Ovis aries: one gene and its partners. Each later gene encodes a partner of the first gene's protein in a complex. Links are inferred from orthologs where the notes say so. Each region holds a gene or a part of one and is shown on either strand. Other genes may lie near its edges. The genes, in order: TAF3, TAF10 and TAF4.

Region 1 (5,460 bases):
GGGGTAATGTGTGGGAAGTACCTAGGATAACACCTGACTGCTTAGAGGTGCTCAGCGACTAGTGCTTTTAAGTGACTTGCGTAAGGTCACACCCCAGCCTGTGGAAGACATAGGGTTTGACCTTGGACCTCCTGGTCCTGAGTCTAGTTCTTCCCCGGCATGAGTTGTATGAAGAAGGCAGTGTTGATGCAGAAACCGAGCAGCGGGCAGCTCTGACCATGGAAAGAAGCTGGAGCCCCTGCCTGTTTCCCGCTGCCCAGCCTGTCTTCCCTGCCCTGATTGTGGAGAAGTAGCTTGGGCAAGAGCCTTGCAGCCTGCGCTCTGTCTTTCTCTGCACTCTCCGAGAAGCCTTTCGCTACTAGAAGAACCGAGTGATCGTGCCATTGTGTTTGTAGCTACCTGGCTTGACTCAACTGTGTGTTTTGATTTTTTCTTTTCTCTCTTTTGTTTACAGTGTCATCAGCAAAGTGGTCCCAGCCCCCGAGGCTAAGCCGGCGCCTTCTCTGAACAGACCCAAGACGCCGCCACCTGCCCCAGCCCCTGCCCCGGCCCCCATGCACGTCACCCCTGCCCCGGTGCCTTTGCCCCTCCTGGCCCCGGCCAGCACGCCCCTCGCCGGGATGCCCGACCCAGCGCCTGCTGCTTCGGGAGCCGCCAGCTCCAAAGCCCCCGTCCGTAGTGTGGTCACAGAGACAGTCAGCACTTACGTGGTGAGCTGCTTTCTGTTTTGGGGAGTATTTAAGAGAAAGTCACTTAAGAGCTCACTCTTTGCTCATGAAAATGTTTCCAATTAAAACAGTGTCAGATGTACCATCATTGAATTTCAGAAGCAATTGTTCATGACTGGAAAGGGATGTTCATTGCATTTTCAAGCCTTTGGCTGAAAGTATTGTGTTAGGATGTTTGCATAGTCTCCATAAATAATGTCAGAGCATTGCTTTTGTTATTCGTCATTGTTTTGGAATATAACTATATATACACACACACACACACACATAAACATATATACAGCACAATGTGTGTATAAATATAGAGGTGAATAGTGACAGACAGACTCCTCACTGACTTTCTTGATTAAGCAGTGATTCACTTCAGAGAATAATTAGCATGGCGTGCACACATCTCATGGGCCAGCCGCTCTTTCTGAGCAGGAGCACTGATTATAGTATCTCACTGGCTGAGGCCCAGAACATATCAGGGCCGGCAGAATGAACGGAAATGAACCTGTCAACCACAGAACTTGCTGAGTCCCAGCCTGTCTTCAGGTGGAAAAACTCACCTTGACAGATGCATTCACACGGTTGTCATGAGACCGTTTTCTCATGTTTCCTCCTACTCGGTACTATCAGGTCTAGCTCAAGCCCTGCATTCAGTTGAGTAATAAATCAGCTCTTTGGGCTACGTGGTGTTTCACACAAGCACATGACAAAAAGATTTCAGGCACGTGGCGGTCCTCAGGGAGCCGACACTGTGAGACCACCAAGCATGTAGCCTGAGGTGTGTCCGCCTGGTGGTGGCACGAATCTTTCAGAATAGATGTGCCTGGGAGGCGACAAGCTCGGACTCCTGCCGTTGTCATTAAAAATCGTGCAAGTATTACGTTTCTATACGTAAATACGGGCATTTTGAAAGGAAATTTCAATGAATCATTAAGTGTTTGAGGCACTATCATGATACAGAGGATAAGAAGAAAGTGTCAGAAGTCTTCAGAGAGGATATAAAGACATGAAATATTAATGAGAAAATATTAAATTGGCAATTCAAGACAACAATGGAAGACATGGTACAGACATCTGTGGTCATTAAATCAGTGCATTCAAGGACCAGTTGCCACAGGTGTTTAATTGAGGCCACGTCACCCCAAGATGGGTAAATCGGGGAGGACTTTATGCTCGATCTCCTCGACCTCCATTTCTTTAGCTGTAACCAGGGATTGTTACGCTAGGTGATCCCTGTGGTGTGTTCTAGCTCTAAAATCTTGATTCTCCAGTGGATTTTTGAGTCAACTCCCTGGAGATAGATCAGACTTGCATAAACAGCGTAGACGAAAAGCCTCTGCCCCCTCAGAGACACTTTGTAGGCAGAGGACAAACTGTGATTCGAAGGAAGGACACAGGCCGATTTCGTTGCTGCCCAATCTATTATGGCACTGGAACTGGCACTGACATTCCTTCAGCTCCAGTCTCCCCGTTTCTGACCTACCCAAGCATTGTTTTAGGAGGATGAAACCAAGTCAGGTGTTTTCGAAGAGCCTAGTAAACCGAGAGGGGCTGGGCGCTGTAGCAGATTTCTCAGGTCGCAGGGTCACGGCCTCCTAATTTCAAGAATCAGCAGCAGGACAGGGCATGCATGGCAGCTTCAGGGCACAGGGTACTGGGCTGGCCTTCACCCCAGACAGCTGGCACAGGCCGACTGGTGGTCTCTCTGCTTGAAACTGGAGACTAGGCCCGGGTCAGGGATGTGGCTGCCTACAGAGTTGTTCAGGAAACCTTTACAGCCTTGTCTGCTCTTGCAGAGACTTCCCAGAATGGCAGACCTTAAAATAGTTAGAATTCCGTGAGTTAGAATGAACCGTCTCTGCCCCCCATACACCCATCACACAAACACAAAAAACTGTTTTTCTTCTGCACATCCAGTCAGTGTTGTATCTGAACGTACCAGGAGAGACTACAGCTTTCAAAATCAACTGGATGAAATTATATGCTGTGTGATCAGCAAAACTTTAAAAAATTAACTCTTAGTTATTGCTGGCTTTGAAAGCCTGTCATGGAATTGTCTCTTCCAGATTGGTCTTGTTCATGTGGAATTTGAGGAGGTGGTTCAGTTGGGAATGCTTCTTATTTGGAACTGCTAAGTCAAGTCCAGAGCACAGCGTGTTTGTTGCAAAATAACATGAAAACGTGTGGCTCTTTGGCCTCCTGCGTCCCTTATTTCATTTGCCCTTTAGTTGATTGTACTTTGCTGAAAATGTCATAAAGGGAATGGAAAGTTACTTAGTAACAACTCTTTTATATCCTTGATCTTATCAGCCAGTTCAGGAGGAGGGTTTGGCTAATAAGTAATAAGGCGATATATGCACATAGGTCGCATTTATTAATTCCAGACCTGTGAATGCAATGGAGGGAACAACACAGAGTTGAGCTAGGTAGCTTTCAGAAGTATCAGGCATTAGTAGTCATTCAGAACCTGTGTTTCAGTATTTTTTTAGATAAAGGTGACTAGGTCACATGGCTCACAGAAATGATTATCAAATGTTTTGTTTTTATGACTTTCAAAAGACAGTTTAAAATAGCCATTAGAAATGTCTTGGAAGTTCCCTGATGGCCTAGTGATTAGGACTCGGCACTTCCATTGCCAGGGCCCAGGTTCAATCCCTGGTCAGGGAACTAAGATTTTGCAAGCCATGCAACGTGGCAAAAAAAAAAAAAGTAGAAGAAAGGTCTTATCATTGAACTGTTAGTAGCATTTTTTTTCCCATATGGTGCCAGGATAGTGAGGACCATGATCACAGCTCTAATGAATTGTTAGCTCCTAGGTTTTTCTGTCTGCTCCTTTAGTCTGTCAGTCTGTTAGCTCCACAGGGTGTAGGCAATCCTTATAATGCCCTTTTGGGGATTTCTTTTTTCTCAATGCCTCTCTGGTTTCCCCCACCCCCACCCCCACCCCAGATCCGAGACGAGTGGGGAAACCAGATCTGGATCTGTCCCGGCTGCAACAAGCCCGACGATGGGAGCCCCATGATCGGCTGTGACGACTGTGACGACTGGTACCACTGGTGAGTCCCCTGCGGGACGGGGGGAGGGAGGAGAGGCTCAGCACACGCGTGGCCCCGGCCCGTGCAGGCTCTTCTCCCAGGGCAGCTGTCTCCCGGGAAGAGCGTCTGGAGCAGAATCCCTGTGCCAAGAGAATGGCGTTCGTATTGTTTGCAAAAATTAGTCTTTAGACTGTGGCTCTTCAGCCTAAATTCAGTGTGTCTCTTAGCACACGTATTCTTTAGAAAGGGAAAAGGAGAGTCAAGGGGTTGGTTCCCTTCCCTTTCTTGTCAGTCATTTTCTGTAGCAGCTGCAGAAACACTGAGGGACCCCGTAAACACTGCCATAAAGTGCAGGAGTACAGGGGCAGCTTGAGTGGCTTCCCCGGCTCCTCAGCGCCCTCCCCAAACTGAAGGCGCAGCATCAGGACGCATGCATACCGCCTCGCTGTGTTATCTTGAAAATATCAGATATGAAAAGATAGGCATCCACTTAGTCACATGCTATACAATGTCTCTGAGATAAAAACAAAGCCGTGGCTCAGAAGAATTAGACTGTTTCTGGCTGAAAGGATGAATGAGCTAATTAATGTCTCCAGCAGGGCCTGGGGAAGGGGCTCGTGTAAGGTGATCTCCCACACGCCCAGCAGGAGTGCAGCAGCGTCTGTCTGCCAGAGCTGGTGACTTGGGTGTCCGGTAAATGCACCTTGAAAGTGAAAGTCACTCAGTTGTGTCCGACTCTTTGTGACCCCATGGACTACACTGTCCGTGGAATTCTCCAGGCCAGAATACTGGAGCGGGTAGCCTTTCCCTCTTCCAGGGGATCTTCCCAACCCAGGGATCGAAGCCATAAACCTAACAGGTTATTGAATGATGTGAAATTCCTGAAAAACGTAGGATGAGAAGATGTGTGTCGCTGAAGCCTGTTTGTCTGAAGCGCCTTTTGCTTGGTTCCCGTGTAGGCCCTGCGTGGGGATCATGGCCGCGCCCCCGGAAGAGATGCAGTGGTTCTGCCCCAAGTGCTCCAACAGGAAGAAGGATAAAAAGCACAAGAAGCGGAAGCACCGGGCGCACTGATGCCTGGAGCGGGGGTGCCCACGCCCACCGCATGGCCCCGGACCCTGCGCCCGGCCAGACTGAGGACAGGACACGTGCCCCCCACCCCCGGGGGCTCTGCGAGGGCCCCCGGCCGAGGGCCACGTGGTCGCCCCCGGAGAAAGACTCTTATGCACGGGGCGGGGGGGAGGCCTCGCCTCCGTTTCCTATTACCAGTGACAAGTATTATTAATAAAGACTATAATCTTTCCTTTCGATTTTCCTCAATTCTCTCCAGGGCCTTTTCCGTAAGGTGTTAGCTGAGAAGATGGCGTGTGGCCCGCCCTGACCGTGCCCGAGGGTGACGTGGGTCGGCTGTATGTGTCTCCAGCCTCCTCCCCTCTGTAGTCAGATAATCGTAATCACATGAAAGAAAACTCCAGGGGGAGTGTCAGTAAATATTTTTGTGATGAAAAATATATGAAGCTTCCCCCACCCCACCCCTCGTTTTTAGTACTAACATGTAAAATGTTCAGGCTTTTTGTGAAATACCTTATATTTTTTAAGAAAAAGGTTTCTATCATGTCCTGTTGGCTCTTTTACAATTTGATTTTGTTGACTCTCTCACCTGTCCTCTCTCTCTGTCGTCCCCCAGCTTTGCCCTTTCCTCCAAA
Region 2 (5,657 bases), on another chromosome or scaffold:
GTGTGTGCTAAGTCGCTTCAGTCGTGTCCGACTCTTTGTGACCCCATGGACTGTAGCCTGCCAGGCTCCTTTGTCTTTGGGGTTCTCCAGGCAAGAATTCTGGAGTGGGTTGCCAGGCCCTCCTCCAGGGGATCTCCCTGACCCAGGGATGGAACCTGCATCTCTTAAATCTCCTGCATTGGCAGGCATGTTTTCCACCACTAGTTTATCTCTAAATAACATGCTTATGTTGCTGTTTATTGATTTCCCCCTGCCCAATTATAGCCATTACTGACTTCCTATTAGCTTGTGATCATTCTTCTTCCTTGTCCCAATCACTCAAAATCCGCACCACCCATTCTTTTGTCCTCTCGATACAATTCTATTTTTGTCTGAGCTGCATACAGGATTTGCAATGGTACAACTGTGTAAATGCTAATCATACCTAATCCATGTAGTATCCTTGCTCTATCCTTTGTCTTTTGCTCTTCTCACTTGACTCATTGTCCACTGAAACAAATCAATGACTGGCATCCACAGCCATCACCATCTCACTAAATCGGACTTTCCATCCTACAGGGATTGATACCTCAAAAGCAAGATGTGTAATTCTCAATAGTTCATCTCCGTTCTTCCCAATCCCAAACTGTTCTCTTTTCTTATTTATAAATGACACTATGCTTGACACTTCCAACTGAGCCAGAAACCTAAAGTATCATCCAAGTTTCCCATTTCCTTCACCTCCTCCCATCATCTCCTTGTCAACAAGTCCTACTGACTCTATCTCTTAAATACATCTTTATCAACCCAAAAGTTCTTCCAATTATATTTCCAAAGTGTATCTTGAATTCATCTACTTCTCTCCAGCTCCACTGCTACTACATGAGCTGTGAGCCATATTCCCGCTCCTCTGAATTGAGGCCCTTGCAAGAAGTGCCCTTACATCCTGCCTTTCCCTAAACCATCTACCAGTTCTTTATTCACTAAGTTGTGTCTGACTCTTTTGCAACCCCATGGACTATAACCCACCAGGCTCCTCTGTCCATGGGACTTCCCAGGCAAGAATACAGAGTGGATTGCCACTTCCTTCTCCAGGGTTCTTCCTGACCCAGGGATGGAACATGGGTATCTTGCATTGGCAGACATGTTCTTTACCACTGAGCCACAAGGGAAGCCCCAAAACCAACTATCAGAGCAAATCTCATGAGGTCATCTACTTAATTAAGAGCCTTCAAAGATTACTGGATATAGGTCAAGCTTTTTATCATGACTTACAAACCTATCTCTTTACTTGCTATTTGTTTCCAAGTAACAAATTGTTTACCCTTCCCGGTCTCCCCACACTCCCCTCCATGCACTTTCATTCACTGTTGCTCAAGATATTCTGTGCCCTAACATTACCCCTGGCTTCCTGTGCCTGGCTGAGGTCCAGAATTCTTTCAAAACTCAGCTCACCTCTTGTGAATCTTTTGGCTCCCTGAAGCTAGTTGATGTGGGTATGACAGAAAAGTCCTAGATTCTTGGTTCTGATATAGACTAGAGAGAGCCTGGGGGAAGTAAGTTCAACTCTTGGAGACTTTTTCCTCATCTGTTAAGTGAGGATATTGATACCTGCCTCTAATATTCAGGAAATCATTAAGTGGAATAAACTTAATGGAATGCCTAACACACAGATGTAGGCAGCAACTATTAGTTCCCTTCCTCCCTTGCACTGCACACCCTGTGTCTACCTCCAGTATTTTAACTCCCATATATTGGTGAAATGGCAAGTTTAACTGTTAATGCCTCCCTTTGCAAGACCACTGGTGCCCGGAGGAGTAGAACCTTCTCCTACTTAACTCTGTATTTGCAGACCCTAGCTCAGGACTGACAAAAATAAATTTTTGCTGTGTTGAAAACCCCACTCTTTCACTAGCCGTGATTTTACATAAATTGTTTATTAAGACTGAAAGACAGCCATCCCTCTGTATCCTCGGGTTCTCCATCCACAGATTCACCCAACCGTGAACTGAAGATATATATATTTTTTAATTCCAATTATAAAAGACGAAACTTGAATTTACCATGCACCAGTAAACTATTCACATCGCATTGGATATTATAAGCAATCTAGAGATTATATAGAGTATACAGTGCAAATACTATGCCATTTCATATAACGGACTTGAGCATCCACGGATTTTGGTATACATGGGTTGGGGACGGGAGTCGGGGGAGTCCCGGAACCAATCCTACCAACCCTTCACCACCTATACGGACGGTGGACTGTACCTCTCTCCCCATCTGCAGCAGCACTGTGTCAGCTGTCCGGTTACCTTCACTTTGGGCAGCTGGCGGGGAAAGAGGCTATTCAACTCCACTACAAACCCTTAAAAGGCTGGATAAAGGAACTTAGAAAAGATGCAGACACGCAGGCGACCAACAGTAGAGAGGTGTCGGGGCGATGAGCATCAAAGCAAGAATTTTAGACGTCAGGCTGGGTGAGGGGGCCTCAAGCCCATAGAAGAGAATCCTCGACATTGAGGGGTTCCCATCCCAGCGGATCCACACTGGAGAACCGCGGGTCCGGACGCGAAATGTCCGCGCCAGCCCAGTTCCGCAACACTTGGTCTCCGCCCTCCCGCCTTTGTCAGGTAGCGGCTGGATGGGCGGGGAATAAAGGAAGGAGGCCTAAGGGAGGAGCGAACGTGGCGTGGGAGGAACGAGTCGTGGGGCGCGTGACGTCACCCCTGGTGTGTGCGTAAGGTGAACGGAAGCGGAAGCGGCTCTGTTCGCCGCCTCTCCCACCGGCCCGATGAGCTGCAGCGGCTCCGGCGCGGACCCCGAGGCGGCGCCGGCCTCCGCCGCCTCGGCCCCGGGCCCGGCGCCCGCGGTCTCGGCCCCCGCCGCGCTGCCCGCCGGCACCGCCGCGGAGAACAAGGCCAGCCCCGCGGGGACGTCAGGGGGGCCTGGGGCTGGAGCCGCGGCAGGGGGCACTGGAGCCGTGGCGGCGCGGGCCGGGGAGCCTGCCGAGCGGCGCGGGGCGGGTGAGGGCCGGGACGGGTGAGGGCGAGGGCCGCGCTTTGGGCTGGGCCCAGCGGCGGGTGAGGGCAGAGGGTAAGACACACCTAGCGGAACCCTCGAGCCTCCCACCTCCGTGTCTCAGTTTGCTGGTTTTCCTCCAGCTCCAGTGACGACCGGCGGCGCGGCGCCCCCGGAGGGGGCCATGTCTAACGGGGTTTACGTGCTGCCAAGCGCGGCCAACGGAGAGGTGAAGCCAGTGGTGTCCAGCACGCCTCTAGTGGACTTCCTGATGCAGCTGGAGGATTACACGCCTACGGTGGGCTTCCTGCCTGAACAAGGCTAATGACTCGCTGTCACGCCAACTTCTGCCACACCATCTGGATTTGCAGCATCCTCTTGTGTTTCTCTTCCTAGCTTTTGTGATTTTTCCCTTCTGCCCACCCAAACTGGGAGCTTCCTGATAGCCAGGCCTGCCCTCCATTTCCCTTACCCCGACTCTCAGCCCCGCTGTACACAGGGCTAACGCTTACAGTCGTCTAATTGATTTCTCAGATCCCTGATGCAGTGACTGGTTACTACCTGAACCGTGCTGGCTTTGAGGCCTCCGACCCACGCATGTGAGTAAACTCTGGGCAGGTTAGAGTGTTGGGTGTTTGTGTGGAGTTTATTGTCTATGCTCTTCTCATACCATTTTTTTCTCTCCAGAATTCGGCTCATCTCCCTAGCTGCCCAGAAATTCATCTCAGATATTGCCAACGATGCCCTACAGCACTGCAAAATGAAGGGCACAGCCTCTGGCAGCTCCCGAAGCAAGAGCAAGGTGTGAGGGGAGGCTCATTGATTCAGTAATTACTTCCTACAGCAGCAGAGGCTTAAATTATCCTGAAACCCCTTTGAGGGAAATTAAGCCTTAGGGGAGGTGAAAGACCTACTCAGGGTCACCTGCCTGGGATTGAAATCTGGAATTCCTGTGTTCAGCTGGTGCTCTTCCCTCTTCCCTCAGGACCGCAAGTACACTCTAACCATGGAGGACTTGACCCCTGCCCTCAGCGAGTATGGCATCAATGTGAAGAAGCCGCACTACTTCACCTGAGCCACCCAGTCTAAATGTACTTGTCTGTTCTCTTGTCCCCACACCAGCCTGTTTTCATAATAAACTTTATTGTGACAGGCAGGGCTGATCCCTCCCATGCTGGGAGACACCGTGTGGCAAGTGACAAAGCTTTGAGCCCATTCCCTTTTGGGGCCACAGTGGTAGGGATGGGGGCAGGGGATGGGCCCCATGGCTGGGGTAGTACCATGACTAGTGGCAGGGGAGGCAACCAGAGGCCTACTGCTTTGGGGAGGTGCACTCCCCTAACCGTGTCCTGACACCTCTGGAGTTCAGATAAGGACTTTCCAGCTCTACTTGTCCTGCATCTTCTCCAGGATAGGCACGATCATGTCAAACTTGGGCCGCTTAGCAGGGTCTTCATTCATGCAGATCTTCATGAGTTTACAAACGTGGGGGGAAATGCCTGGTGGGATGGTAGGCCGAAGGCCTTCCAATGCCACCTGCAAACACAAGGAAAAACAAGGTGAGTCTCAGAACTTGAGTCTCATGTCGGGAGAGACGTCTAGCCCTCAGGACAGGATTCTGTGTATTTGAATCAATGTGGCAGGAGCCCAGCCCCACTACAATTATTGTCACTACCACCACAAGTATATCCAGTTATGCTCTCACCTTCATTCCAATTTCCATGTTGGAGAGGTCAGCAAAGGGTACCTCCCGTGTCACCAGTTCCCACAGAAGCACTGCAAAACTCCACATATCTGCTGAGCGTCTGTTTGTGTCTTCAGGCTTCTTTTGCAGAGCTAGAGGGATAGGACTTATCTGTTCCAGCTGCTTGTCCTGTCTGTGTTCCCTTCCATTACTACTGAGCTGCCCCTTCTCTGCCTCACATCATAATGCCATCACTCACCTTCAGGAGCCACCCAGGCAGGTGCATACATGCGCCCGGGGCACTGGAAGGAGAACTTGACGTCGGCCATACTGATTCGAGCAGTCATGTCCTCATCAATCTGAGGAAGAGAAGATAGTTGTGTGGAAGGAGGTAAGTCCTATTCTAGGGAAAGGACCTCTGGGGCTTGGGCCGGGAGTGAAGTTGTGATCTCACCATTACACTACGGCTGTTGAGTGCATGTCGTGGGATGAGGGGCTCTAGTGTGTGTAGGAAGGCCATGCCCCTTGCCATGTCCAATGCAAACTTCACAGCCTGGCTCTGGTCCACAACGAAATCTAAGTGAGAAGGCAAGAGTTAAATCATTTGGAGAGGCTCACAGACTTTCCTTCCCCACACCCTGCTGCAGTGAGATTTGGCACTCCCTACTCACTGGTGCCTTCATGTAGCACATTGTACAGGGATCCGTATGGCATCCAGTGTGTGATGAGGGTCGGGTGAGGAGCAGGTGGAGACTGACAGGCACCAAGCACTGGGAGCACATTGGGATGTGAGAAAATCCTGGAAGAGGGAGAGAATGCCCCTGGCTGAGATCCAGCATAAAAGATCTCCCTCTGGGTGCTGACAGGGCTCCTTGAAATCAAGGCTTCCAGTTTAGGCCTTGCCCCACCTGAGCCGGGGACACTCCTCATTGAAGTCCCTGCTCTTCCTTGTACTCCAGTCTCGAACCTTTAG
Region 3 (6,385 bases), about 42 Mb from region 1:
CTATTTTATTGAAAAGACAATATACCGCTTAATAAACCCGATAGTCCCACATAGCTGCCAGCCTGGGAGGTCTCCTTTTTGCTCATGGCTTTGGACGTTTGCACCGCTGTGGGTGGCAACGATATACTGTTTTGGGGTTCTGCCATTCTCACTTAACAGCAAACATTTTTCCATGTTTAAACCTGGTGTGTATATTGACACTCGTTTTCGGGCCCGTTTTTCTTTTCATGCTAGGTGGAATTTTTGTTTCAAACTACATAAGTCTTACGGAAGCTTCTTGTGGGAACAAAACCATGCAGAGATATTCAAAGAAAATGCTCCAGTCCCCAGGGTGGCCAAGGTTAACAGTCTGGCAGCATCTCCCCGCCCACCATAGGGAGGAGGGGAGGAGCCACGTGGCTACCGCCCCTCCCCCACTCTCCGGGGCGGGCAGGTCTCTGCAGGGTGTCCGAGACGTAAGAGCTGCCTAAGCTGTTGGTAGCCCCCACCTTCCGCTGGGGCGCAGAGACCCCGTCTGGAAGCGGAGTCGCGGCGGAGCGGGGTGGGGAGGGAAGACGGTGCACCGACGCTTCACCTCCCACTTCCTGCCGGACCGGAGGGCGCCCCGGAGGACGCTGGGGGTGATGTCAGCACCGCTGCGGCGCGGAGGCCTGGGCGGGGGAGGGGCCCCGGGGTTGGAGGGGTCCTGGCGGGCGGACCTCTATGGGAAAGCAGGAGGGGCCCGAGACGGTACCACCTGCTCCTTTCACTTTAGATCCCAGTAACTACAGGGGCGGGCGAGAGGGGACCCCCCATTCCCCCCCACCCCGGGCCTGACCGTCTCGCGTCAGTCAGTGGTTTGCCTCGTAGCACGGCTGTCACTTTTGTCCCGACTCCGATCTGGGTGTTCTGACTGCAGATCACGGTGTACCCCTCTGTTTCCCACTACGGCACCCGGGGCCTGCTTTTGTTTGGCTCACTTAACATTTTCTGATGAGTTGTCAACATTAAAGATCAGATTTTACACATATTCCCACATTTCTGCTCTTGCTCGCAAACCAGATCGTCGGCCCCCGCTGGGCTCAAAGCCCGGTGGGGATGGGACCCAGGCACCCCGAGTTCAAGGTACCCCCAGCCCAGGTTTGTTCCACCCTTTTCCTTTCCTGTGTTTTGAGTAGTCAGCTTCAGGTGCAAAATTCCTATTCTCTCTTTGCAGGGGTTCCCCGACGCGGTCGCCCGGGGAGGCCCCTTCGCAGGCTCCAACCCCCGCGCTCATTGTCTGAACCCGCCCCGGGAGCTGGGCTCGCGGGGGCCGCCGGCTCTTTTGTTAGGCGGGTAGAAAAGATCATTTGTGTGTCAACAGCTTCCCGCATTGTGCTGCGGGCCGTGTGACTGCGGTGTGGCCTGTTCTGCCGGAGGCGCTTCTCTGGGTCTACCCTCCTCCCTCCCCACCCCAAAAGAGAGAGGAAACCACTAGACATGTACTAGAATACCATCTTTCGGTGAAAAAAACAAAAAACGCAGGCGAGAATTTCAGGTGAATTCTTCCTACAGAGAAGGTGCTCGTAAGGTTATTTTAAATAACTTACTTCGTCAAAAGGACAGAACGGGAGAGAAGGACCCCAGGAAAACCTCCAAGCTGGACGCTCCCTTTCCCTACGCGAGCTGCTGGTCCCGGCCGGCACCACCGTCTCACCCAGTGATTTACAGACACTCGCGGCCAGGGGCCGCGCAGCCGGAGGAGATGAGTCACCCTGGCGTGGCCTCGGGCGCCGACCCCTGCCCCGCCCCCGCCGCCCAAGCTGCGGACATCACAGCGCAAGACGCCCGGTCTCGGGCGGACCGAGGCGCCGGTCCGGGGGGCAGGCCCGCGCTCGCCCCGCCCGGTGCCCCGAGCTTCGGGGCCTGCGCCCGCCCGGGAGCAATGGCGACGACGCCCAGGCTACCTCGCTGACCCAGCCCCCAGGCAGTGCCCTCAAGGGGTGCCGGGTTCCCGCGGGCTGCGGCGGCCTTAGCTCCGATATAGGCGTCCCCGCTCCCTCGCCCGCCCGCCCGCCCGCCCGGCGATCCCATCAGCTCCGGCCGCAGCCATTTTGGAGCAAGCGGAGACAAAGAGCCAGTCATTGCTGCCGCCCCCACCAGGCCCCAGCCGCGGTCCCCGCCCGTCTTGTCCTCCGGGTCGTCAGCCTCTGGCCCGTCCGGCAACCTGCACCCCACCATCCCCGCCAGACCAAGGACTCCCGGGCCCCCAGCCCACTAGCCCGCAAACCCCCGGCCGCCCGCCCGCGCCTCGGCTTCTGCCGCTCGCAGCCATTGGCCGCGCCTTTTAAGTGCACGGTACGGCCAATCACGGGACGCCGGGCAGCCGGGCGGGGGGGCGCCGCGGCCAATGGTGAGGCGCCGGGCGGCGGGCGGGGGCGGGCACGCCGCCGCGCCTGCGCACCGCGTTGCCACCGCCCTCCCCCCCGCCCGGCCGCCCGCGCCCCCCGCCCGGCCGCCGCCCCCGCCCCGCCCGGCGCGCGCCGCCCCCCGCCCGCCCCCGCGGCCGCCCGCCCGCCCGCCCGCCCGCCCGCGCGGAGCCTCCTCCCCGCCCAGCGCCGGCCGAGCGGCGGCGGCGGCGGGCCGAGGAGGAAAGATGGCGGCGGGCTCGGATCTGCTGGACGAGGTCTTCTTCAACAGCGAGGTGGACGAGAAAGTGGTGAGCGACCTGGTGGGCTCGCTCGAGTCGCAGCTGGCGGCCAGCGCGGCCCACCACCACCACCTCGCGCCCCGCGCGCCCGAGGCGCGGGCCGCGGCCGCCGGCGCGCTCGGGAACCATGTCGGAGCCGGAGCCGTGCCGGCCGAGGGCGCGCCCGCAGCGGCGCCGGAGCCGCCCCCCGCAGGTAGAGCGCGGCGCGGCCTGAGCGCGGGCGGCCGCCGGCCGGGCCCGCGTCCTCACCGCGCCGCCCCGCTTGTCTCCGCAGGGCCCGCCGCGAAGCTGAGCGCGCTCGAGGCCGGCGCGGGCGCCGGGGCCGGAGCCGGAGCGGGCGCCGCGGCCGGGGCCTGCCCGCCGGGGGCAGCGGCCGCTCCCGAGCCCGCCGCCAAGCCTGCCGCCCGCAACGGCCCGCCCGGCGGCCCCGGCGCCGCGCAAACTTTGAATGGGAGCGCCGCGCTGGGGAACTCGCTCCGCGCCGCCGCCGCACCTGCTGTCAGCCTGCTCCACAACGGGCCCGCGCCCGCGCCGCCGCCGCCCAAGCCCGCCGCCGCCACTGTCATCCAGACGCCGCCCTTCCTCGGCGCCCCCGCCGCGCCCGCGCCCCGCGTCCCCTCGCCCCCCGCGGCCCCTGCGCCCGCCGCGCCCCCTGCGCCCCCCGCGCCCGCCGCCGCCGCCCCGCCGCCGCCGCCGCCCGCGGCCGCCAGCCTGGCCCGGCCGCCCGGGCCCCCCGCCGGACCCCCGGCGGCCGCGCAGAACGGGGGCAGCGCTGCGCCCGCGCCCGCCCCCACGCCCGCCCCGGCCCCCGCGCCCGCGCCCGCCCCGGCGCCCGCCGCCAACAGTCAGCCCGGGCCCGCCGCCGCGCCCGCGCAGGTGGCCAAGGCCGACTCGCCCAAGACCGCGCTGCAGCCGGCGCCCCCGCCGCCGCAGACCCTGGCGACCAGCTGCCCGGCCGGCGCGGGGTCCGGCATGATCCTCGGGCCAACTATGCAAGGGGCACTGCCCGCCGCCGCCGCCGCCGGCCTCCCGCCGCCGGCCCCGGGCACCCCCACCGGGCTGCCCAAGGGCTCGGCCAGCGCGGTGACCCAGAGCCTGCCCAGGACGCCCTCGGCCACCACCGGCGGGATCCGGGCCACGCTGACGCCCACGGTCCTCGCCCCACGCCTGCCGCAGCCGCCGCAGAACCCCACCAACATCCAGAACTTCCAGCTGCCCCCAGGTGAGTGGCCGCGCCGCCGAGCGGCTGTGTGTGTGCTCCCCAGCCGGGAGTCCAGGAAGTTGTCTGGCTGGCAGGACGCGGAGGTCATGAAGCCCTGCCGGTGCGTCTCTGCCCCGGTCCGGGCCGGTCCCGGGCCTGTATGTGCTCTAGTGTTGCGTGATGTGGCTGCTGGGGCCTCTTAGCTGTGCGGGGCTTGGCTTCTACTCTCCACTTTGCGTTGGGGAACTTTCTCTGTCGGGACTTCCGCCGAGTGGGCCCTCTTCTCTCCTCCTGGCCTTGTGTGTCCCTGCCCGGTGCCCCCACAGTGGACAGCAGTAGCAGCTGGCGCTCTCGGGACAACTTGCTGGGTTATTCAGTCTGGGCCGGTGACTTCCCCACGTTTGGCTGTTCTCTCCCTGGTTTCTGGGATCAGGCATATGGTTTGTGTCCTCACTGAACTCTTCTGCTCTGTTACTGGGCTGGTCTGTGATTGGTGTCCCCTTCTGGTGGTCTAGGGACCCCCTTTCCCGGTGAGGTCAGGGGAGTGACGCCCCCTCCGTGAGGCTGGGCAAGCCTGCGTGGAAAGCTTTTGCTCCCCTGCTGACACCAGGATGGCAGAGTTCCCAGGTGAGCTTGTAGGGATCCCGGGGCACACACCCTTCCTGGTCACAGCCCTTGCCTCACGCGGCTCCTGCAGTCGTTTTTCAGCACTTCCCGTAGTGGCCGTGTGGTTCTGCACGGAGTCCTCACTTGGAGGACGCCCGGTTACCTTGATTGTTACCAATGCAGTCAGCGGTGGGCTGGGGCTCCCCGTTCAGTGAGTCTTTTGGAGGTACAGATGGTGTAGGAGGACAGGCAGTGTCTCCAAACCTACACTCCATCTTCTGTTCTCTGGGCAGCTTTTTAAGGCTTTCTAGGTCCCCGTGGCATTAAGTGTGTCCCGCTGCTTTCTTTCGGGCTTGCTGGGCAGAGAGAAACCCCAGCGCTGGAGGCTCCCAGTCTCTGCTTCCATCCCCGGCCTGGCCTGCGTGGACGCAGAGCGCTCCTCCCCTGCCGTGTAGTAACGTGTGCTGGTGGCAGGAGCAGTGGAAGCAGCACCGCCTGTGTGTGCGTCCCCTCGTGCTTTCCGAAGCAGCCGTTGGTCACCTTGAGAGGATTTCAGCGTCTTAGAAGGAAGGTCTTGTTGTCACAGTGCCGTGAGGTTTGGAGCGGTGGCGGCACCTGGCAGGGATCTGATTTCACACCACAGAAGGGAGGAGGCAAGGTTCCAGCCAAGAGTGCTGTTTGGGGGTGGTCGTGAGGGCTGCCCTGATCCCAGGAGGAGGTGATGTGAAGTAGGTACCTGAGAGGTGCAGGGTGCCTCTTACAACATGCTTTGTTTTTGAGTTTGTAGGAGGTTTTCATTAAAGGTTCTGTTTTGCACATTATGTGTATTTTGACCTTTTAGTGGAAAATATGTTTGATCTCTAGTGACGCTTAAAAAAGAGAAGTCATGGTGGTAACAGGTTATGTAAAACGTCAAAATACTTTTTAGTTACTCATTAAAGTATCCCCTCAGTGGTTCTCAGCCCCTGCCCCACTCCTGGCCAGGACAGTTCCCTGCATGACGCTTTTGTTCTGAAAACTGTCAGTGAAGTTTGTGAGTCAGTGGAGCTGGTGAGGCTGGCGCTGTGCCCGCGGAGGAGGCCCCCCGGGGCACTCGTGTGATGCCTGTAGGTGTGGCGGTTTGGGGCTGACTGGATCCCCTCGCCTCTGCATAGGTGCAGCCTTCACTGCCTGCCGCCTTCTGGGGGAGGAAGCTGTGGTTCTGAAAGGGCGCCTCTGTCAGCTTTGTCATGATTGACCCTGGACGCACTTTCATCTCCTGTTCTACCGGCGGTGTTAAGGATGTCTGCATGTGACAAGTAGGCGACTCCTTGAAGAAAACTGTAAAAGTGCTGACTCTTTGCATGAGTTCTCATGAGTCTTTGCGGTAGTCCCGTGTGTGTGTGTGTGTGTGTGCGTGCGCGTGCGTGTGTGTGTGTATGAGTAGAGAACAGCTCATGTTGACATTTGGGTGACAAATGCGGAGAGCTGTGCTTTAAAGGGGCCAAATGCTTTCTAGAAAATAAACTCACATCCATCTCTTCATGCTTCCCCTACCCCCACAGTCGATCCGCTCATTTGGAGCTCTGATTAATTCTGTTCCATCATTTTAATAAAAGCAGGAGCAGAAAAAGCATAGTTAAAACTACTACCAGTTCCCCACAACAAAGTACTTTCTTTTAAATAGTACAAATTAATTTTATAAATCAAAGTGACAGATTATGAATATTCTAGTTACCTCATGTAATTGATCGATTGGAAGACACTAAGTTCTACTTGAGGTCTCCTGTTCATTGAAAGCTCTCATTATAAAAATGTATAAAGCAGAGGTGGAATTAACTTGTGAAAATAGCTATCGCCTGGCTGATAATGCACTCTGGTTAGTACTCAGGGGTTAGGGGTGGGCAGGGTTTTCAAAGCTACACATAGGT

What was found.
Region 2: TAF3 (region 1) and TAF10 share a complex: the UniProt entries of both Homo sapiens proteins name them as parts of the TFIID basal transcription factor complex. The link is inferred for Ovis aries from reciprocal best matches to the Homo sapiens genes TAF3 and TAF10.
Region 3: TAF3 (region 1) and TAF4 share a complex: the UniProt entries of both Homo sapiens proteins name them as parts of the TFIID basal transcription factor complex. The link is inferred for Ovis aries from reciprocal best matches to the Homo sapiens genes TAF3 and TAF4.

The regions. Positions count from the first base shown.
Region 1 is NC_056066.1:12,340,322-12,345,781, forward strand, and holds part of TAF3 (transcription initiation factor TFIID subunit 3), read left to right. Parts: intron 1-454; coding exon 455-710; intron 711-3,314; exon of another isoform or gene 3,315-3,386; intron 3,387-3,668; coding exon 3,669-3,775; intron 3,776-4,713; coding exon 4,714-4,828; 3' UTR 4,829-5,460. UniProt on the Homo sapiens protein: The TFIID basal transcription factor complex plays a major role in the initiation of RNA polymerase II (Pol II)-dependent transcription.
Region 2 is NC_056068.1:46,194,209-46,199,865, forward strand, and holds TAF10 (transcription initiation factor TFIID subunit 10), read left to right. Parts: upstream 1-2,748; 5' UTR 2,749-2,773; coding exon 2,774-3,005; intron 3,006-3,143; coding exon 3,144-3,298; intron 3,299-3,534; coding exon 3,535-3,599; intron 3,600-3,687; coding exon 3,688-3,802; intron 3,803-3,985; coding exon 3,986-4,075; 3' UTR 4,076-4,156; downstream 4,157-5,657. Other genes in the region: ILK (integrin-linked protein kinase), read right to left, coding at 4,387-4,536, 4,706-4,836, 4,944-5,043, 5,139-5,260, 5,356-5,483, 5,593-5,657. UniProt on the Homo sapiens protein: The TFIID basal transcription factor complex plays a major role in the initiation of RNA polymerase II (Pol II)-dependent transcription.
Region 3 is NC_056066.1:54,788,899-54,795,283, forward strand, and holds the start of TAF4 (transcription initiation factor TFIID subunit 4), read left to right. Parts: upstream 1-2,554; 5' UTR 2,555-2,614; coding exon 2,615-3,890; intron 3,891-6,385. UniProt on the Homo sapiens protein: The TFIID basal transcription factor complex plays a major role in the initiation of RNA polymerase II (Pol II)-dependent transcription.